Linked DNA regions of Coturnix japonica. The protein of the gene in region 2 interacts with the protein of the main gene of each other region in a pairwise test. Links are inferred from orthologs where the notes say so. Each region holds a gene or a part of one and is shown on either strand. Other genes may lie near its edges.

What was found.
Region 1: the proteins of MFAP1 (region 2) and KATNBL1 interact in binary tests that used the Homo sapiens proteins (3 or more experiments, as listed by UniProt). The link is inferred for Coturnix japonica from reciprocal best matches to the Homo sapiens genes MFAP1 and KATNBL1.

What each region holds. Positions count from the first base shown.
Region 1 is NC_029520.1:26,556,430-26,560,532, forward strand, and holds the start of KATNBL1 (KATNB1-like protein 1), read right to left. Parts: upstream 2,801-4,103; 5' UTR 2,687-2,800; intron 2,407-2,686; exon of another isoform or gene 1,307-2,406; intron 1-1,306. Other genes in the region: uncharacterized protein LOC107314916, read left to right, coding at 3,196-3,227, 3,993-4,100.
Region 2 is NC_029525.1:18,262,690-18,268,634, forward strand, and holds the start of MFAP1 (microfibrillar-associated protein 1), read left to right. Parts: upstream 1-2,300; 5' UTR 2,301-2,407; coding exon 2,408-2,486; intron 2,487-2,723; coding exon 2,724-2,943; intron 2,944-3,155; coding exon 3,156-3,285; intron 3,286-3,599; coding exon 3,600-3,787; intron 3,788-4,155; coding exon 4,156-4,264; intron 4,265-4,337; coding exon 4,338-4,498; intron 4,499-4,740; coding exon 4,741-4,900; intron 4,901-5,231; coding exon 5,232-5,321; intron 5,322-5,479; coding exon 5,480-5,662; 3' UTR 5,663-5,945. UniProt on the Homo sapiens protein: Involved in pre-mRNA splicing as a component of the spliceosome.

The DNA.
Region 1 (4,103 bases), on a different chromosome or scaffold from region 2:
CGGGGTTTCTCCCCCACCCCTCACGTTATATCAAGAGCATGTTCTCAAGGATGACAACATCGATCGAAGTTAATTATTTGTTACTCCGCACAGAGAGGAGGTGCCAGATCTGAAGGCATTTGAAGCTGGCACACATCATAGAGCCAGGAAAGAGCAAGTGATTTTACTAATTATTATCAGATGGAAAAGGCTTATGGGAAATCTCCAATAATGGTTATTCCAAAAGGTAATTGGTCTAGAGAAATAAATTAGTGCTATCTTATGAGGCAGAAGACTGAGTAAACTTGGCATCATTTCCTTCCATTCTAAGTCCGACCAACAAATACTACAGATTCCATCCGTCTCTTATTGTACATCTTCCACACACTTTCATTATGAAACAGATTTTTGTGTAATTACTGTTCACTAAGTGCTACGTACTGAATTATCTTAAGAAAGGCATTCCTCAAAACCTTGAATTACCATCAATGCAAAGTTTCTGTGCAACACTACAAGACAAGCCTTTCACATCACCAGGGCACGAATCTCAGCCAGATGTACCCGTTAGGTCCCTTCTTTCAATCTGAAGTGACTTATTAGGAAAAAATTAACATCAGCTAAATCAGCAGTAAAGAAATACTGCTTGAGTGACAAATTAATGCTGTAACAATTTTTTAAGCTCAGCTTCCTACTACACAGACATGGAGTTTTTTCGGGGCCTGCTGTCATAAACAGCCATAATGAGGCTTTGGAAGTGACCACAAGTCAGAGTTCAGTGAAGCTCGGGGAGGATGAACCCAGGCATGGGGCAGAGCTCCCTTATTACAAAGTCTGATAACTGAACATCTGATTCCTAGGAAAATATTCCTTCCAGGAAAGGAAGGAGTAGTAAAAGTACCACACCATGTTCTGCACGTGGAAGTACAATTTAAAGGCATGTCCAATTTTAAAAAGCACTGGAAAGCAGAATCATAGAAGCAGCCCTCTAATAAGGAAAGGATGTTTTTCACCTGTTGATTTTCACCTATTAACAACACAGGAATAGCAAGGCTGGAAAACTTCTATTGTTAACATTATCTGACAGCTGTTAGATAGAAAACAGAGCTCAAATACATTGAAACTCTCACATCAAGACTGTCAACAAGCTTTAAGAAATCACCCATAAAAAACAAATGCTTTTCTCTTATTTGCTGTTTAACCCCAATCTGTAGCAAGAATCTTAAATTCAAATTCTGAGAAAGGTGCACTGCAACTACTTCCCTTCCAGCCCTAATGGAGCTGCAGGTACCCACACAGCCCCACGAGGCCAAAAGCAGCCTGCACCTACCTATACTGCACGGCTCCAGATCACATGGCATTGAAGATTACACTTAATGTCACCCTGCGTGTCTTTTGATGATGAGATGCTAAAAGCATCTAAAAAGATCTTTCCTAATTCAAACTTCAAGTCCCTCACCATAGGATCAAGATATAGAGCGTTTTAAGTAAAAGATATCCTTATTATTCTAACCGAAATAAATCAAAAAGAGAAGCTGCAAAACTTATGGACGCAGTTCACATAAATTACTGTAACACTACAAGACAGGATACTCATGTATGTAAACATATTCCTGTAATGACAGCTACTAATACTATTTTTAAAATGTAGTAAGTGTTCTCAGTTATAAAGCTTAGGAACTAAAAATAAAGCTAACTTGAATTCAGCGAAGCGAGGTTACTGACATTTTAGTCAAAGTTATTTGCACTGATTAATAATGAAGTAACAGCTTTAAACTAAAACAATTTGTTTTTTTCCACCCAGCAAGGACCAAGAGCCACTCGTCTGCCATCTGCTACGCTTAATTCTCCAGCAGGGCTCACCCTTCTTGTCCTTCTCTGTCTGCAGCTACACAATGGGAAATACAAAAACCAAGGCAGTGAGAAAGGCAACATTCCTCTTCCAAAAAGCAGTTTTTAAGCAAATAATGGACTCATCCTTGCTCCATAGCAAAGCACGTTACTAAAACAACAACACCTCGATAAAACTATCACACAGTCTCTCCAACTGGTTTCACTCTTCAGAGTTCGTTAGGTCTACACTGAACGACAAGCCAAGCCGCTCCAACACAACAGAAAAAGAGATCTGAAGTCTTTTTAAGAAAGCAATTAACTCCGGCTCCCGAAGCAAATGAAGATGTCTTGTTCCCTCCCTCTCCTCCCCACTGCAATAAGGCATCTGTCACACCCAGGGCGCAGAGCCCAGTCAGCAGGCCTCGCCCCTGCTATTATCCTCCCCGGGCAGCACTACAACCCTGCCGCGCTCCCGCCGCCTGCCTACGGGAGCACACGCCGGTTTCGACTCTGGGGTGACGCCGTCGTCTCACAAAAAGGACGAAGCGAATCCCCGACCGAACCGACGCAGGGCCGCCCGCCGAGCCCCGCACGGGCACGGCCGAGACGGGCGGTGAGGCCGCCAGTGCCCTGCAGCTCGGTAGAGGCGGCCCCGCTCCCACCTGCGCGCCGCCCACAGCTGCCGGGCCTGGCGAGGCGCCCCGCGCTGGGCCCGAGCGAGCGGCCCCGGAGATCCGCCTGCGGAAGGCCCGGCCGCGGCTCCTCCCAGCCCGTCTCGCAGCGCCGTGGGCGCGCCCCGGGCCGAGGAGGGGCCCCGCCACGAGGGACCCCCCGCAGCCGGCCCTCCCGACGCGGCGGCCCTCCCGGCCGCGCTCACCTGCCGCTCATGGTACCGGACGGCCCACGCCGACAGGAGACACTGTGACAGGAAGCTACAACCCGGAGCCAGCGCCCACAGCCTGCGCCATTCAAACGGCGCCGCGCTGCATGCCGGGCCGCGCCCCGCCTCGCTCCGCCTCCGCCCGCGCCGTGCAGGAACAAAGCGCCCTCTGGCGGCCAACCCGCAACCGCCCGGCGAGGGGAGAGACTGCGATGGCACCGCGATCCGGGGTTGCTCAGCACAGGGAAGGCTTTCTGATGCGTCACGTTCCTCGAGTATTTTATTGAATCGGGAACTTTGCAACCCTTCATCTCTACTGTGTCCGCAGGCAGCTAATGACACAGCACGGTTACGAGCTTCACATGCTAAGTCAGTCCACGCCGACTGCAGAGTGTAGCTGAGTACAAACAGCTTCTCTGCCCCTGAGGCTTGGGTGTATTGCAGCCCTCTGTTTGCTCGGGTACAGCATCTCAGGATGCACCTGCAAAGTAAAGCTGGTGGGAAAGATGGACTGTTTTTGTAATAAACAAAGGAGAAGGTGAGATTTATTCTGCATCTCCACTTCATTCCTTTCCATGGTAAATTCTGCTCTGAAGTACGACATTTTGTCATGCAGCTGCACTACAACCCTGCAGAACCAGGACCACATCTGTACCTGGCACAGACACATTTTGGATAGGCCATAATGCTCGTTCCTAGAGCACCTCACTCTCAGTTTGGGGGGAAGAAAGGATGAGCTCTGATAAATTACTTCCTTTCTTCATTAAGTTGAGCGTGACAATTTAAATCACTTAAACCATAACTCAGTTATTAAAGCATTTCTTCAGTGTCCGAGTAGCTCCATGACTATATGGATCTAATTGATAACTACATTACCTTTTTTTTTCCTGTATTTTATTTTATTTTATTTTATTTTATTTTATTTTATTTTATTTTATTTTATTCCTGGCTTATGATTCAGGCTTTAGGACAAGGCAGTCTGTAAGATACTGGCACATAGCAAACCACTGCTATTTGAAGAAGGCATTTGATTGATAGCTCTAAAAATGAGCTACAGATACATATTCGAGTCCTCAGTTCAGACAGCATTTCTGTTTATTCTTCTTGTGCCAATATTATTCTATAGTTAAAAGAACTCACTTCCTATCACAGACGACAAATAGACATCTGCTGTTGAAGAATAACTTCTCAGCAATTCTGTTTTCCCAGGTTAAATAAACTAAACATTCTTAATTTCCTACTGCAGGATAGCCTTTCTATTTGCTTAATCATCCTAATGTCAATTTTATGTTCATTTCTGCAGATGTCACAGTGTTGGTTCACACTTCCTTGATGTACACTGCTTAAAGTATTCATGCTTCTTGTGGTCATCTGAGCACTTCACCCGTGGATATCCAGGCACATATGATCAGTA
Region 2 (5,945 bases):
GCCAGCTGTGCGATGGCTGCTGGCACTTTGCAGAAGGCAGCACTGCGCCAGGCACCCCCACCTGGGGGTGGGCTCAGAGACACCACTGCGCTGGGAGGAAGCGGGCAGCAGGGCAGGGAGATGGGGTAGGAAGGTCTGCGCGCACACAGAGCTGAGAAAGCCAAAGTGAAGGTAGCGGTGGCAGACGGGACAGCGGCTCAGCCCGGCGGTGCTCACTGAGCGGCCTCAGGGGGAGTGCGGGGAGCCTGGGCTGCCGCGGGGGCTGCGCTGCACGTGGCTGCGGTGGGATGGGAGGCTCTGCCCGCCCCGCACTCCCAGACACAACATCGGGCCGGGGATCCGGCGCTGACCTTGCCCCGCGGTGCAGCCTGCAGACAAACAGCAGCGGCACAACGTGTCTCTGTAACTTTATCTGCCTTCTGCCTTTGTCATCAATTGCCACGAGGCTGCTGAAGTATCACAGCTGCCATCTCCAGCCCCCATCTGCTCTGCAGCCACCCAGGGGAAAGGAAGCCCACCCGATCTGAGTGCGCTGCATGGGTTCTGAGCACACTTTGATTGCAGGACAGGCAGCAGAGCCCACACACTGCCCCCAAAGCCCCCTCACCACGTGCTCTAGCAGGCTGGGGGCATTCTCAGCTGTATCAGCCTGCGTCCCCTGCCCCAGACAGCCCAAACACCGCCTCTGCCACTCCCAGCCCCTCACTCCTGCTGCAGCCGTGTGCGGCTCCGTGGGACACAGGGCAGAGAAGCACACCAAAGGGTCAGGGCTGCTTCTTGTCACCGCATCAAACCCCTGAGGCACAGCATCGAAGCCAGCCAGGAAGCATTTTCCTGTTTGCTGAGGTCTTGAGTTTAGCTTCACCTGATCAGGACACGATGTGCTTTGTGTGCAATTCCTAAGCTTTCCTGTAACCATTGTGCCTAATTGTTTCACTCACTGAGTCATACATTGAAGCTCGCTCCTTGCCATGGTGACACGGGAACCATTAGGTAGGAACACGCTGTGATAACCACACAAAATTGATATCTCAGCTGATGACTGGGAGCGGAGCAGGAGCTGGGCACAGAGCTCTAATTGTCATCGGGACATCAAGGCCAGGAACACCAGGAAGGACTTGCCTACCCCCAAGCACTGCTGCTGCAGGAGCACAAAGCCACCAGTGCCCGAGGCAGCGGGACAACTGCAGCACTGGGGTCTGGCTGCACGCACAGCAGAATCACAGGGACCCTGGAGCGGCCAAAAGCTCTGCCTGGGCCTGCTCAGTGGCAGCTCTTCTCCTGCCACAGCACCAGCAGGGTCAGGCTTACCCAGGAGCTGTTGTGCCCAGGGGACCCACCCTGCCAGCACAAGGGAATGCTGAGGTCAGTCCCCAGGAGCAGGTCTCACTGCCTGGCACCCCCGTGCTGATTTCCCGGAAGATAAAACCTCTTCCCTTCTTTTGGGGAGGCACCGCAGCGCTGCAGACGCGGTTGTGGTGGCTGGTGACCCAGTTTTTCCTGGCTTCAAGAGAAATCTTATCTCCTGTGGTTGGCTGCTACCGCGTGGGCAGCTGCTACGAGTTGGCGCTGGGCTGCTTTCCTGCGAAACCCAACTGGTGTGTGAAGGGCTCTGACGTGAGCAGCAACAGCTGGGGCAGGAAACCTGCCCGCTTCCATGTAGGGGCTGCTCCTGCGGGTAATTCCCTCTGCCCTGGGCCGGTGCTGCGGGAAAGTCCTGGCAGCCAGAGGGCGGGGGACAGCCCGGGGAGAGCCCTGCAGAGCGATGGTAACCGGTAAATTCAGCACCGAGGTACGCCGCGCATTCAGCACGATGGTAACCCGGGCATTCCAAGCACCGATGGGCAACCCGTTTCAGCACCGTGGTAACCCGTATTCAGCACCGATGTAACCCGGTATTCAGCACCGATGGTAACCCGGTATTCAGCACCGATGGTAACCCGGTATTCAGCACCGACACTGAGCGCAGCCTCCAGCCGCAGCCACACGAGCAGCAGGGGCAGGACTCGGCAGCCGGCCCCGGGAATCCCGGGCAGGGACCCGGCGCGGGCCGGGGCTACGTGCGGCCGGCTCCGCAGCACGTCACCACTCCCGAGCCCCGAAGCGATGAGCGGAGAGATCACAGCGGGGCCGATCTGAGCCCTGAGGGGAACCGAGCCCTGAGGGGAACCGCCGCTGCACCGCGACCGGACCGGGCCGAAACCAGCTCCACATCCGGCCACAGGAGCCGGAAATGACCTCCACGCTGAGCGTCACTTCCGGCGGCTTGCGACGGTTCGGCGCGCGTTCACTTCCGGTACGCCGGCGGAAGCGGGAGTTGCAGTTCCGGGTGAGCGGTCGGTCTGTCGGTCTGTCGGTCGGTCGGTGCTGTGAGCGGCTGCGGTTCGTCCCGTCCCGTCCCGCCGCCATGTCGGCCCCCAGCGCTCTCGTGAAGCAGCCGCCCATCCAGTCCACGGCGGGCGCCGTGCCCGTCCGCAATGAGAAGGGTGAGTGCGGGGCGCCGGGAGGGGCGGGGGGCGCGGGCACGGCGGCGGCGTGAATGTTCATGGCATGAATGCACATGGCTGCCCATGGCGCCCTGCTCATGGCCCGGCTGCCCATGGCTGCCCATGGCTGCTCACGGCTGTTCATGGCCCGGCTGCCCATGGCGCCCTGCTCATGGCCCGGCTGCTCATGGCTTCCCGCTGCTGTTCCTCCCGCTGCTGTTCCCCCCCCTCCCGCAGGCGAGCTGTCTATGGAGAAGGTGAAGGTGAAGCGGTACGTGTCGGGGAAGCGGCCCGACTACGCGCCCATGGAATCCTCGGAGGAGGAGGACGAGGAGTTCCAGTTCATCAAGAAGGCGAAGGAGCAGGAGGTGGAGCCCGAGGAGCAGGAGGAGGAGGTCGCCAACGACCCGCGGCTGCGGCGGCTGCAGAACCGCATCACTGAGGACGTGGAGGAGCGGTGAGTGCTCGGCTCCGGGCTCTGCTCCCTCCTCGTGCTCCCCCCCAGCTTTGTGTTTCCGGGCTCCTGAGCACGCAGGGGATGCCTCTTTCCTTCACACGCTTCGTGGTCCCGGGTCTGACTACGGTCTCATTAGAAACAGATCGCAAAGATTTCTCTTCTTTAGTCTCCTTGTGTTCAGAGCTTCGTAGTCGAGTGGACATTTGTTGCAGGCTGGCAAGACACCGCAAAATTGTGGAGCCTGAAGTGGTCGGAGAGAGTGATTCTGAGGTAGAAGGTGAAGCGTGGCGTGTGGAGAGAGAGGACACCAGTGAAGAGGAAGAGGAAGAGATCGATGATGAGGTTCGTTATATTGCTGAGCAGATGTGGCCTGGGAAAGTCCCCTTAGGCCCTGTCTGGAATTCGTGCTTGCAGACACACGTGAACTGTGGTGAGACTGGGTGGATGTTGGGACCTGAGTTAAAGCCAGCTGTGGTGTGACCACAGCCTGTGGGTTATGGGGCACCAGGGAGGTCACCTGCGTTCTGAGGTGTGGGCTTATATAAGCAGTCAACATCATATCATATAAGCTCAACATCATGCTTTTTATATGGAAAAAGGAAGGAAGCGATAGTGGGGCTGGTTGGCTGAGTCTGTGTTTGATGTGTCTCCATTAGGAGATCGAGCGTCGGCGTGGGATGATGCGTCAGAGAGCGCAGGAGAGAAAAACTGAGGAGCTGGAAGTGATGGAGCTGGAAGATGAGGGCAGATCTGGAGAAGAGTCTGAGTCAGAGTCTGAGTACGAGGAGTACACAGACAGCGAGGATGAAATGGAGCCACGTCTCAAACCTGTCTTCATCCGCAAGTAGGTGATAAGGTGATACAGCTGCATGGGCCAAGCACTGCATCAGGGATGGGCAGTGACTGACCTGGTAGGGCATGGCTGGGTACTTCCAACTGGGGACTTTAGGCAGGTACAGCACAACAGAAACCAGGTAGTGTGCTCCAACATGTTCCACAGCCAGTAGCAGGGTCTCCCATCACCTTTGTGCATGTCTGCAGATGTGAGGAGACTGAGTATGGTCGCTCTTGAATGAGCAAAATCAGAAAGGAGAGAGCCTTGGGACTTGGCCCTGCCGTGGGGGGCATAAAGACTAAAAGAGGCTGCAGTGGGAGCAGAGGTCTGCAGTGGCATGTTGAAAGGCTGAAGGCTTTTGTGGTCCCTGCTCACAGGAAGGACCGGATCACAGTTCAGGAGCGAGAAGCAGAAGCCTTGAAGCAGAAGGAGCTAGAACAGGAGGCAAAGAGATTAGCAGAAGAGAGGCGCAAGTACACACTCAAGGTACAGCGGGGCAGACTGGGGCATGCATGTTGGGGCAGCCATTGCAGTGAGCTGAGCTTGGTCTTGGCTTCAGATCGTGGAAGAGGAGGCAAAGAAGGAGCTGGAAGAGAATAAGCGCTCGTTGGCAGCACTTGATGCTCTCGATACAGACGATGAGAATGATGAGGAGGAGTACGAGGCTTGGAAAGTACGTGAGCTGAAGCGCATCAAACGGGATCGTGAAGAACGAGAAGCGTAAGTACTGTCTGCTTAAGGCAGGGGAGGGTCCCTGCAGTCCCAGGCCCTGCAGGACAGCGGGCAGTTGAGGCGTCTCTTTCTCAGTCTTTGTTTTGGCAGCATCAGGAATTTTCTTGAGGTGCTTTACTCCATTATGGAGTCAGTCAACGTATTCGTCAGAAAGTCCCGGGTGGCAGCAGCTGTCCCATCTTGGGAGGGCACTGAGGGATGCAGGGGCTCAGGGTTTCTCTTTTGCCCAGCATGGAGAAAGAGAAGGCAGAGATCGAGCGGATGAGGAACCTGACAGAGGAGGAGCGCCGTGCCGAGCTGCGAGCCAACGGCAAAGTCATCACCAACAAGGCAGTGAAGGGCAAATACAAGTTCCTGCAGAAGTACTACCACCGTGGCGCCTTCTTCATGGTGAGTTCTGCTGCCAGGCCTGGGGCTGCGTGGACCACGTGGCTGTTTTGGGGGAGTTTTCCCTAGTGGTACCCAAGTAAGGGCTGGCCAAGCACACAGGACCAGAGCTGGCCCTCAACAGCAGCGTGCTGCTGAAGTGACTGAGGGGATCTGAGGTGCCTGTCAGGTCTGGCAGGCAGGGTGAGTAAAGACACGAATGCAGTTCGTCAGGGACTTGCTGCATGGAGCAGCAGTCCCAGGACAGCTGGTTCTCGGTAGCTCTTCTCCACTTGTCTTCTACTGACACTTGCTGGAAACTTGCAAGTCAAGCAGGTGTGTCCTTCCTCCGCAGGACGAAGATGAGGAGGTGTACAAGCGGGACTTCAGTGCCCCTACCCTCGAGGACCACTTCAACAAAACTATCCTGCCCAAAGTCATGCAGGTGGGTGTGTGGCAGGTCTGTGCGCTGCCCCAGCTCCACCAGTGCTGCTCAGCTGGGGCTCGTGGGATCGGTGGGATCTCACGAGGGAAGGAGCAGTGACATGATAGGGTCCCCACATCGTACACCAACTGATGCTCACAATCTTTCCTGCCTCCCAGGTCAAGAACTTTGGGCGCTCAGGACGGACAAAGTACACGCACTTGGTAGACCAGGATACCACCTCGTTTGACTCTGCCTGGGGCCAAGAAAGTGCACAGAACACTAAATTCTTCAAGCAGAAAGCAGCAGGCGTGAGGGATGTCTTCGAGAGACCCTCGGCCAAGAAGCGGAAGACCACTTAAGGGAGCAGACAGGAGGGCGTCCTGTGGCTGACTGGGCAGAGAGGCACTGCTTTATCAGCTGCCTGAGAGCCTGGGCAGGAACAGCAGGGACAAAACACCGCACCAGGACTCGTGCCACAATCAGCTGTCCCTCTGGGCCCTTGCACTGCATCCTCCCTGTTAGTTGGTGGCATGATCCATGACCTATACTGCAGAGACTCGGCAGACTCCCATCGCTGGTTCTTGTGGCAGATGACTTCCAGCCATGCTGAGCAGCCTCATGGTCATGTCACCACCCCACCAG